Linked DNA regions of Sus scrofa. The protein of the gene in region 1 purifies or fractionates together with the protein of each later gene. This does not show direct contact. Links are inferred from orthologs where the notes say so. Each region holds a gene or a part of one and is shown in the gene's direction. Other genes may lie near its edges.

The links. The genes of interacting proteins can lie anywhere in the genome.
Region 2: the proteins of UBQLN2 (region 1) and RAD23A purify together in Homo sapiens (affinity purification with mass spectrometry; 3 studies listed by BioGRID and IntAct, with this or other methods). This does not show direct contact. The link is inferred for Sus scrofa from reciprocal best matches to the Homo sapiens genes UBQLN2 and RAD23A.

The regions. Positions count from the first base shown.
Region 1 is NC_010461.5:48,947,168-48,950,916, forward strand, and holds the start of UBQLN2 (ubiquilin-2), read left to right. Parts: upstream 1-894; 5' UTR 895-1,221; coding exon 1,222-3,096; 3' UTR 3,097-3,749. UniProt on the Homo sapiens protein: Plays an important role in the regulation of different protein degradation mechanisms and pathways including ubiquitin-proteasome system (UPS), autophagy and the endoplasmic reticulum-associated protein degradation (ERAD) pathway.
Region 2 is NC_010444.4:66,094,286-66,098,034, reverse strand, and holds the start of RAD23A (UV excision repair protein RAD23 homolog A), read left to right. Parts: upstream 1-1,557; 5' UTR 1,558-1,792; coding exon 1,793-1,864; intron 1,865-3,153; coding exon 3,154-3,315; intron 3,316-3,480; coding exon 3,481-3,662; intron 3,663-3,749. UniProt on the Homo sapiens protein: Multiubiquitin chain receptor involved in modulation of proteasomal degradation. Binds to 'Lys-48'-linked polyubiquitin chains in a length-dependent manner and with a lower affinity to 'Lys-63'-linked polyubiquitin chains.

The DNA.
Region 1 (3,749 bases):
CATAATATATCTGACCAATCCTGTGTAAAGAGACACTGATTATCCTTTTTAAATATTTATTTTAAATGCTGCAATGAGTGTAGATTTTATACATATGCATTTCTGCATTCCTATTTTGTTATTTTCATAGGTGAGGTCTCTAAATTAGACATTTCCAAACAGAGGTGGAACTATATAAAATGTTGATATATATATGTTAAAATCATCTTATGATTATAACAATTTACATTTCAATTGGCATAAGCGTGCATTTTCTCAGCTCTCTCAAAGATTTATTATTATTTTTCATCTTTGCCAGTAAAAGAAGAATTTCCTTGTTTTAATTTGAATGTCTTTCATTACTAGTGAGCTTAATCATCTTTTTATATGCCCATTTGCCATTTGTACTTCTTTTGTAAAATGCAGGATCCTGCCCAGCCCTCTTCTCTTCACCCTAGGGTGAGAGGTGGGTTGGGGTGGGTGTTAATCTTTTCCTTTTTGCTTTGTCAGAGTTCTTTATTTTTAATCTTTTACTTGGGTTGGGTTCGATTCAGGCTTTCATTCTTTCACTTCACTCTAACGGAACATCTATATATCTATGTATAGATATATATGTATATCTTACGAAATACATGTATATTTTCTCCATTAGTCTTTATTTCCCTTTATAGAAACTGGCTCCCGTCCCCCTTCCGTATTTTTTTCTCTTGTCTTCTCTAGTCTCTTTGTTTCTTTCTCCTGTTTTCCTCTCTCTTTGTTTCTCACTCTCTTTCTCTCCCTCATTTTTTTTTTTTTCCAGAACAGAAGTTTTTAATTTTGACCGAGTCGAATCTATCATTCTGCGCCTGGCGCCGCGTCAGCAGACGGGGGCAGGGAGGCGAGAGCCGAACTGGGGGGAGGGGAAGGGGCGGGGAGGAGCGGGCGGAGCGGCTGCGGGAGCTGCTGGGAGAGCGCGGGGTGGGGGTGGGATCACACGGCGGCGGCGGCGGAGGCAGCGGCAGCGGCAGTGGCGGCGGAGGCCCAGAGACCTGAACGCCGAAACCTCGGTCCGTGGCCTACACGGAGCCCTCTCTCCATCTGAGGACCAGGGAACCGCAGTCTTCAACACAGAGGTACCGTGCTCCGCTCTCCCGCCCGGCCCGGCTCAGCCTGCTGCGGCGGTGCCTCCTTCCTTCCTTCTTCCCTCGCTCTCTTTCTCGCCCGCCCGCGCCTTCCCTGTCTGCCTGCGTCACCGCGGCCGCCATGGCTGAGAACGGCGAGAGCAGCGGCCCCCCGCGCCCCTCCCGCGGCTCTGCTGCGGCGCAAGGCCCGGCCTCTGCCCCGGCGGAGCCTAAAATCATCAAAGTCACTGTGAAGACCCCCAAAGAGAAAGAGGAGTTCGCAGTGCCCGAGAACAGCTCAGTCCAACAGTTTAAAGAAGCGATTTCGAAACGCTTCAAATCCCAAACCGATCAGCTAGTGCTGATTTTTGCCGGAAAAATCTTAAAAGATCAAGATACCTTGATCCAGCATGGCATCCATGATGGACTGACTGTTCACCTTGTCATCAAAAGCCAGAACCGACCTCAGGGTCAGTCCACACAGCCCAATAGTGCCGCGGGAACTAATACTACCACCGCGTCGACTCCCAGGAGTAACTCCACACCTATTTCCACAAATAGCAACCCGTTTGGTTTGGGGAGCCTGGGAGGACTTGCAGGCCTTAGCAGCTTGGGCTTAAGCTCGACCAACTTCTCTGAGCTCCAGAACCAGATGCAGCAGCAGCTCCTGTCCAGCCCTGAGATGATGATCCAAATCATGGAAAATCCCTTTGTTCAGAGCATGCTTTCAAATCCTGATCTGATGAGGCAGCTCATTATGGCCAATCCACAGATGCAACAATTAATTCAAAGAAACCCAGAAATAAGTCACCTGCTTAACAACCCAGATATAATGAGGCAGACCCTCGAAATCGCCAGGAATCCAGCTATGATGCAAGAGATGATGAGAAATCAAGACCTGGCTCTCAGCAATCTCGAAAGCATCCCAGGTGGCTACAATGCTTTACGGCGCATGTATACTGACATTCAAGAACCCATGCTGAATGCCGCACAGGAGCAGTTTGGGGGTAATCCGTTTGCCTCGGTGGGGAACAGTTCCTCTTCTGGGGAAGGTACGCAGCCTTCTCGCACAGAAAATCGAGATCCACTACCCAATCCATGGGCACCGCCACCGGCTACCCAGAGTTCTGCGACCACTAGCACAACAACTAGCAGTGGCAGTGGATCTGGCAGTAGCTCCAGCAGTGCTACGGGGAACACAGTTGCTGCAGCCAATTATGTCGCTAGCATCTTTAGCACCCCAGGAATGCAGAGCTTGCTGCAACAGATAACCGAAAACCCCCAGCTGATCCAGAATATGCTGTCTGCGCCCTATATGAGAAGCATGATGCAGTCGCTTAGCCAGAATCCAGATTTGGCTGCACAGATGATGCTGAATAGCCCTGTGTTTACTGCAAATCCTCAGCTGCAGGAGCAGATGCGTCCACAGCTCCCTGCTTTCCTGCAGCAGATGCAGAATCCAGACACACTGTCAGCCATGTCAAACCCAAGAGCAATGCAGGCTTTAATGCAGATCCAGCAGGGGCTACAGACATTAGCTACTGAAGCTCCTGGCCTAATTCCAAGCTTCACTCCAGGGGTGGGGGTAGGGGTGCTGGGAACAGCTATAGGCCCTGTAGGCCCAGTCACACCCATAGGCCCCATTGGCCCCATAGTCCCATTTACCCCCATAGGCCCCATTGGGCCCATAGGACCCACTGGCCCTGCAGGTCCCCCTGGTTCCACTGGCTCTGGAACCCCCCCTGGGCCCACCGTGTCTAGCTCTGCACCCAGTGACACGACGAGCCCAACATCGGAATCTGGACCCAACCAGCAGTTCATTCAGCAAATGGTGCAGGCTCTCGCTGGAGCAAATCCTCCGCAGCTGCCGAATCCAGAAGTCAGATTTCAGCAACAACTGGAACAGCTCAACGCAATGGGGTTCTTAAACCGGGAAGCAAACTTGCAGGCTCTAATAGCAACAGGAGGCGACATCAACGCAGCCATTGAAAGGCTGCTGGGCTCCCAGCCATCGTAATTATACTTCTGTACCTTGAAAAAATGTATCTTATTTTTGATAATGGCTCTTAAATCTTTAAACACACAGAATTGTGCTTTACTTTCATTTTGATTCCTTTAAATCTGTCTAGTTATAAATCTAATATGCATTTTAAGGTGGAGTCTTTTCCTCCCTCTTTGTTTCCTTCCTCCCTTCCTCCTTCTCTCTTCCCTCCCTTCTTGCCTTCCTTCTCTGTTTTGAATGGTGGGAATCAATGCTGTTTCACTCAAAGGTGTTGCATGCAAACACTTCTTTATTCTGCATTTATTGTGATTTTTGAGAACTGGTATCAACCTTTACGGTTGGGTGAACAAGTTTTGTCCTACAGATGTCCAATTTATTTGCATTTTAAACATTAGACTATGATAGTAATTTAATGTAGACTGAAAATATTAAAAGCAGAAACAAATTATTTGAAACTCTAATTTGTGGTACAATATTGCTTATTGTGACTTTGGCATGTATTTTTGCTAGCAAAATGCTGTAAGATTTATACCATTCTTTGATCTTTTTTGCTATATTTATATGCAGTACAGTAAGCACAATTGGAACTGTATACCTAGAAATGTTACAACAGAATCTCTGAGCAGAATATATATAACCAAAATGAGAGAGACTATAAGAAATATTTC
Region 2 (3,749 bases), on another chromosome or scaffold:
CAGTTTCATGAGACGAGGGCCAGAATTTAGTTTGAGATGGGACAGGGCTTTGAAACCATACCTTAGCCACTATCTCATACAAACTGTTTTATATTGGTCCATATGTGTCCATCTTCTCAAGCAAAAGTTTTAAACATTTGCCTTTTTTTTTTTTTAACTTTTTAAGGGCTGCACGTGCAGCATGTGAAAGTTCTCAGGTTAGGGGTCTAATTGGAGCTACAGCTGTGGGCCTACATCACAGCCACAGCAATGCCAGATCCAAGCTCTATCTGACCTATGCTGCGGCTCACAGCAACGCTGATCCTTAGCACACTGAGTGAAGCCAGGTTTTGAACCTGCATCCTCATGGTTACCAGTTGGGTCTTTAACCCCCTAAGCCACAACGGGAATTCTTATAAACACTTTTTTTTTTTTTTTTTTAATGCTGATTCCACCGGGACAGGGATCGAATCCGTGCTACAACAGTGACCCAAGCCACTGCAGTGACAGTGCCGGATCCTTAGCTCAATTTGCTGCCAGGGCACTCCTCAACACGTTGTTCTTAATACCAGCCCGTGTTAAAAGCTATAAATACCTTTCATTAGTCAAAATATCTTCAGAAGGTGGTATCTAGCTTACCCATGATGTTCAGTAGCCAAGTTGGGATCTGAACTTCTTGAAGGGAAGAGGTGGCCTATTCTTGTGTGGAAGCTTCTTAGTTCAGGGTGTGTGGTAAAGGGACAAGCAGCAGGACCTGGTTAGATTTGGGGAAATGAGTGAGGTGGCAGGGGACTGCACTGTGTCCTACTGGGATGGGAATGGTGAAAAGATCAGGTTCTGAAGCAGGATATGAAGGAGGTGGGGAGTCCATCACCTCCAACCAGTCTGCCATAGCACGTTTTTCACCTTTGGCCAACCAGCGCTTCATTTCCTTGTTACTTGGACAGGCCTCTTTTGTGCTTCATTCCTGTGTCCTGCAGCCCAGCCCCACCCTTCTGGGAAACATCCCAATTAGCATATCCAGGGAAAGGAGAGAATTTTGTATTCAGTGTAGGAAAGCCTTGGAAGTTACATACTCTACATACTGCGGATCATGTTGGAGATAGTGGTTAGGGAAGGAGCAGCAGAGAGGGGGGAGACCCAGGAACTAGAACTGTATAAATTAATTCCAAAAATCCGGCTCTTCCTAAAGAATAAATGAGGGCATAAAATGGCTCTGTGTGCCTGTTTACACAGCCAAACGTGTTTGGCATTTTCATTTAATTGTTGGTGACCTTTTCAGTATCCTTTCTAGGTCCCTTCAGGGTTAGACAGGAGTACTGTCAGGGTGGCCAGACTAGAATGAAACTAATTTGGAAAGAGCAAAAAATATGAACTAAGATTTTACGGTAGAGATACAAGTATCAAAGCAGATTTTTGTTCAACGTCAACAAAAAAGGAAACTGATGGGCGTGATAATTGGACGTCGGCGCCATTTTGTGGCCTCATGACGTCACCGCTAACGGGGATGGCGTCACTCCCATGAAGCCACGTGATGGTTAAGCGAGAAAACCTCCCTCTACGCCGACTGAGTAGAAGTTGGTCTGCGTACGCCTGACTCAGGGCCGCTCTCGTGCGCATGCTCACGAAGGCCCATGGCGGCGGCGGGGGGGGGGGGCCCACAGCGCGCAGGTCACGTGTCCTGGTCGTCGGCGCGCGCACCGTTTGCCCCGGAAGCGGTCGGCGCGCGGCGCGGCTAGGCGCTAAGATGGCGGCGGCGTGAGTTGCATGTTGTGTGAGGATCCCGGGGCCGCCGCGTCGCTCGGGTCCTACCATGGCCGTCACCATCACGCTCAAAACGCTGCAACAGCAGACCTTCAAGATCCGCATGGAGCCTGATGAGACGGTGCGAACCAAGCCTGAGCCTGGGAACGGGAGCGACGGGTGCCAGGGGTTCGGGGGGAGGCTGGGATCCCGACGAGAGACGCGGGGAAGACGACGCGGGGCCGGGCCCTGCCCATTCTCCCAAACTGCCCTACTTTTCCAGATTACCCGATGGTCCCCAACCCAGGCCCTGGTGGCTCGGGTGGAGCTCTAGTGTCGATCTCCAGGCAAAGCCCCACCCCCGGGGCGCCTGCCAGGCCCCGGCTCCAATGTCAGCGCCCTCGTGGGGCGCGGGAGCCGCAGGCTCAGATTTTCTGTCGTGCTGCTGTCTCTGGGACTGGGCCTCCTAGTTCCCAGCTTTGTAGGCGTTTCCTCTGGACGTTGGTGGCCGAATCTACGAATAGTGGCCAAGAGATGCCGGGTGATGACAGCAACGACGATGATAAAGATAATAAATGGTCTGAGTTTCAATGGTCCGTGTTTGTTCTTCACCAGTCACTGAGCGTTTTCGTATTATCTTACTAAATCTTCAAAGTAGGCTTGTCATTTGGGGACTTAGTCTTCTTGTTTTACAGATGTGGAAATTTAGGAGTTAAGGAACGTAGACATAGTCGCATACAGCAAATAACAGTAGGGGTTTGCCTCAAGTGAGCCTATGGACGAAACCTTATGCTGTCTTTTTAGCTGAGAAGAGACTTCGAATCTAATATGCGTATTTGGCATTATTCGCACAACTTATCTCATGAAGAAGATGTTTAAGTTCACTTTTTATAGAGAGAGAAATAGATTTTCTCATCAGCCTGTTTGCCTTTGGGCAAGTTAGTTAACAACCTATCTGTGCCTTTTTTTCTTGGACATAAAATGAGGCTAATGGTAATTTTTTTACCCAGTTACAATGAGGATTTAAACTTGTGACACATGTATGTTTACAATAGTACTGTAAACTTAGGATTCTACCACTGAAAACCACTGTCAGCAGCATGGAGTGAGGAACCCTCCTATCGCCCCTTTTTTCTGTTTTTCATTACATTGTGTTTACATTTTCTGACTTCCATCTCCCAAATAAGCGTCATTTCTACAAAAACAGAGTTTGTTGAGTTTTGTTCTCTGTTGTGTCCTCAGTGCCTAAAACTGCACCTGGCACATAGAAGTGTGCAGTAAATACTCCATTGAATGATGGGATAGCCTAGAATGCTTGATTATGAAGCTTAGCTTCTCAGTCATCAGGGCTTGTTTTCTCCCCTCTCCTCCTATACTATAAGGGAAGAGAGAATCTTGGGGTTTGCCATGACTGTGTACCCCTTTCTCCAGGTGAAGGTGCTAAAAGAGAAGATAGAAGCTGAGAAGGGTCGTGATGCCTTCCCCGTGGCTGGACAGAAACTCATCTATGCTGGCAAGATCCTGAGTGACGATGTCCCCATCAGGGACTATCGAATTGATGAGAAGAACTTTGTGGTCGTCATGGTGACCAAGGTAGGTGAGGTAGCTGGTTGGGAGGGTGGGTGGATTAGCTTGGGAGCTGGCCAAGAGCCTGTGTGCCTAAGAGAGATTAACCATGAACAGGGTGGGGCTGAGCTGTGGTGGGATGTGGCGCTAGATAGGGATACTGATGCCTGCTCCCTTTTCTGGGTTTCACAGGCCAAAACTAGCCCAGGCACCTCAGTACCCCCAGAGGCCTCACCCACTGCTGCCCCGGAGTCTTCCACATCCTTCCCATTGGCCCCTGCCTCAGGCATGTCCCACCCCCCATCTCCTGCCAGAGAGGACAAGAGCCCATCGGAGGAATCGGTCCCCACGACATCTCCGGAGTCCGTGTCAGGGTAAGGCAGGGAGCAGCAGCCTCAGCTTGGGCCCTGGCCTCCCAGCACATTTCAGCGCCTACGTCCGTGGTTCCACACACCTGCGGG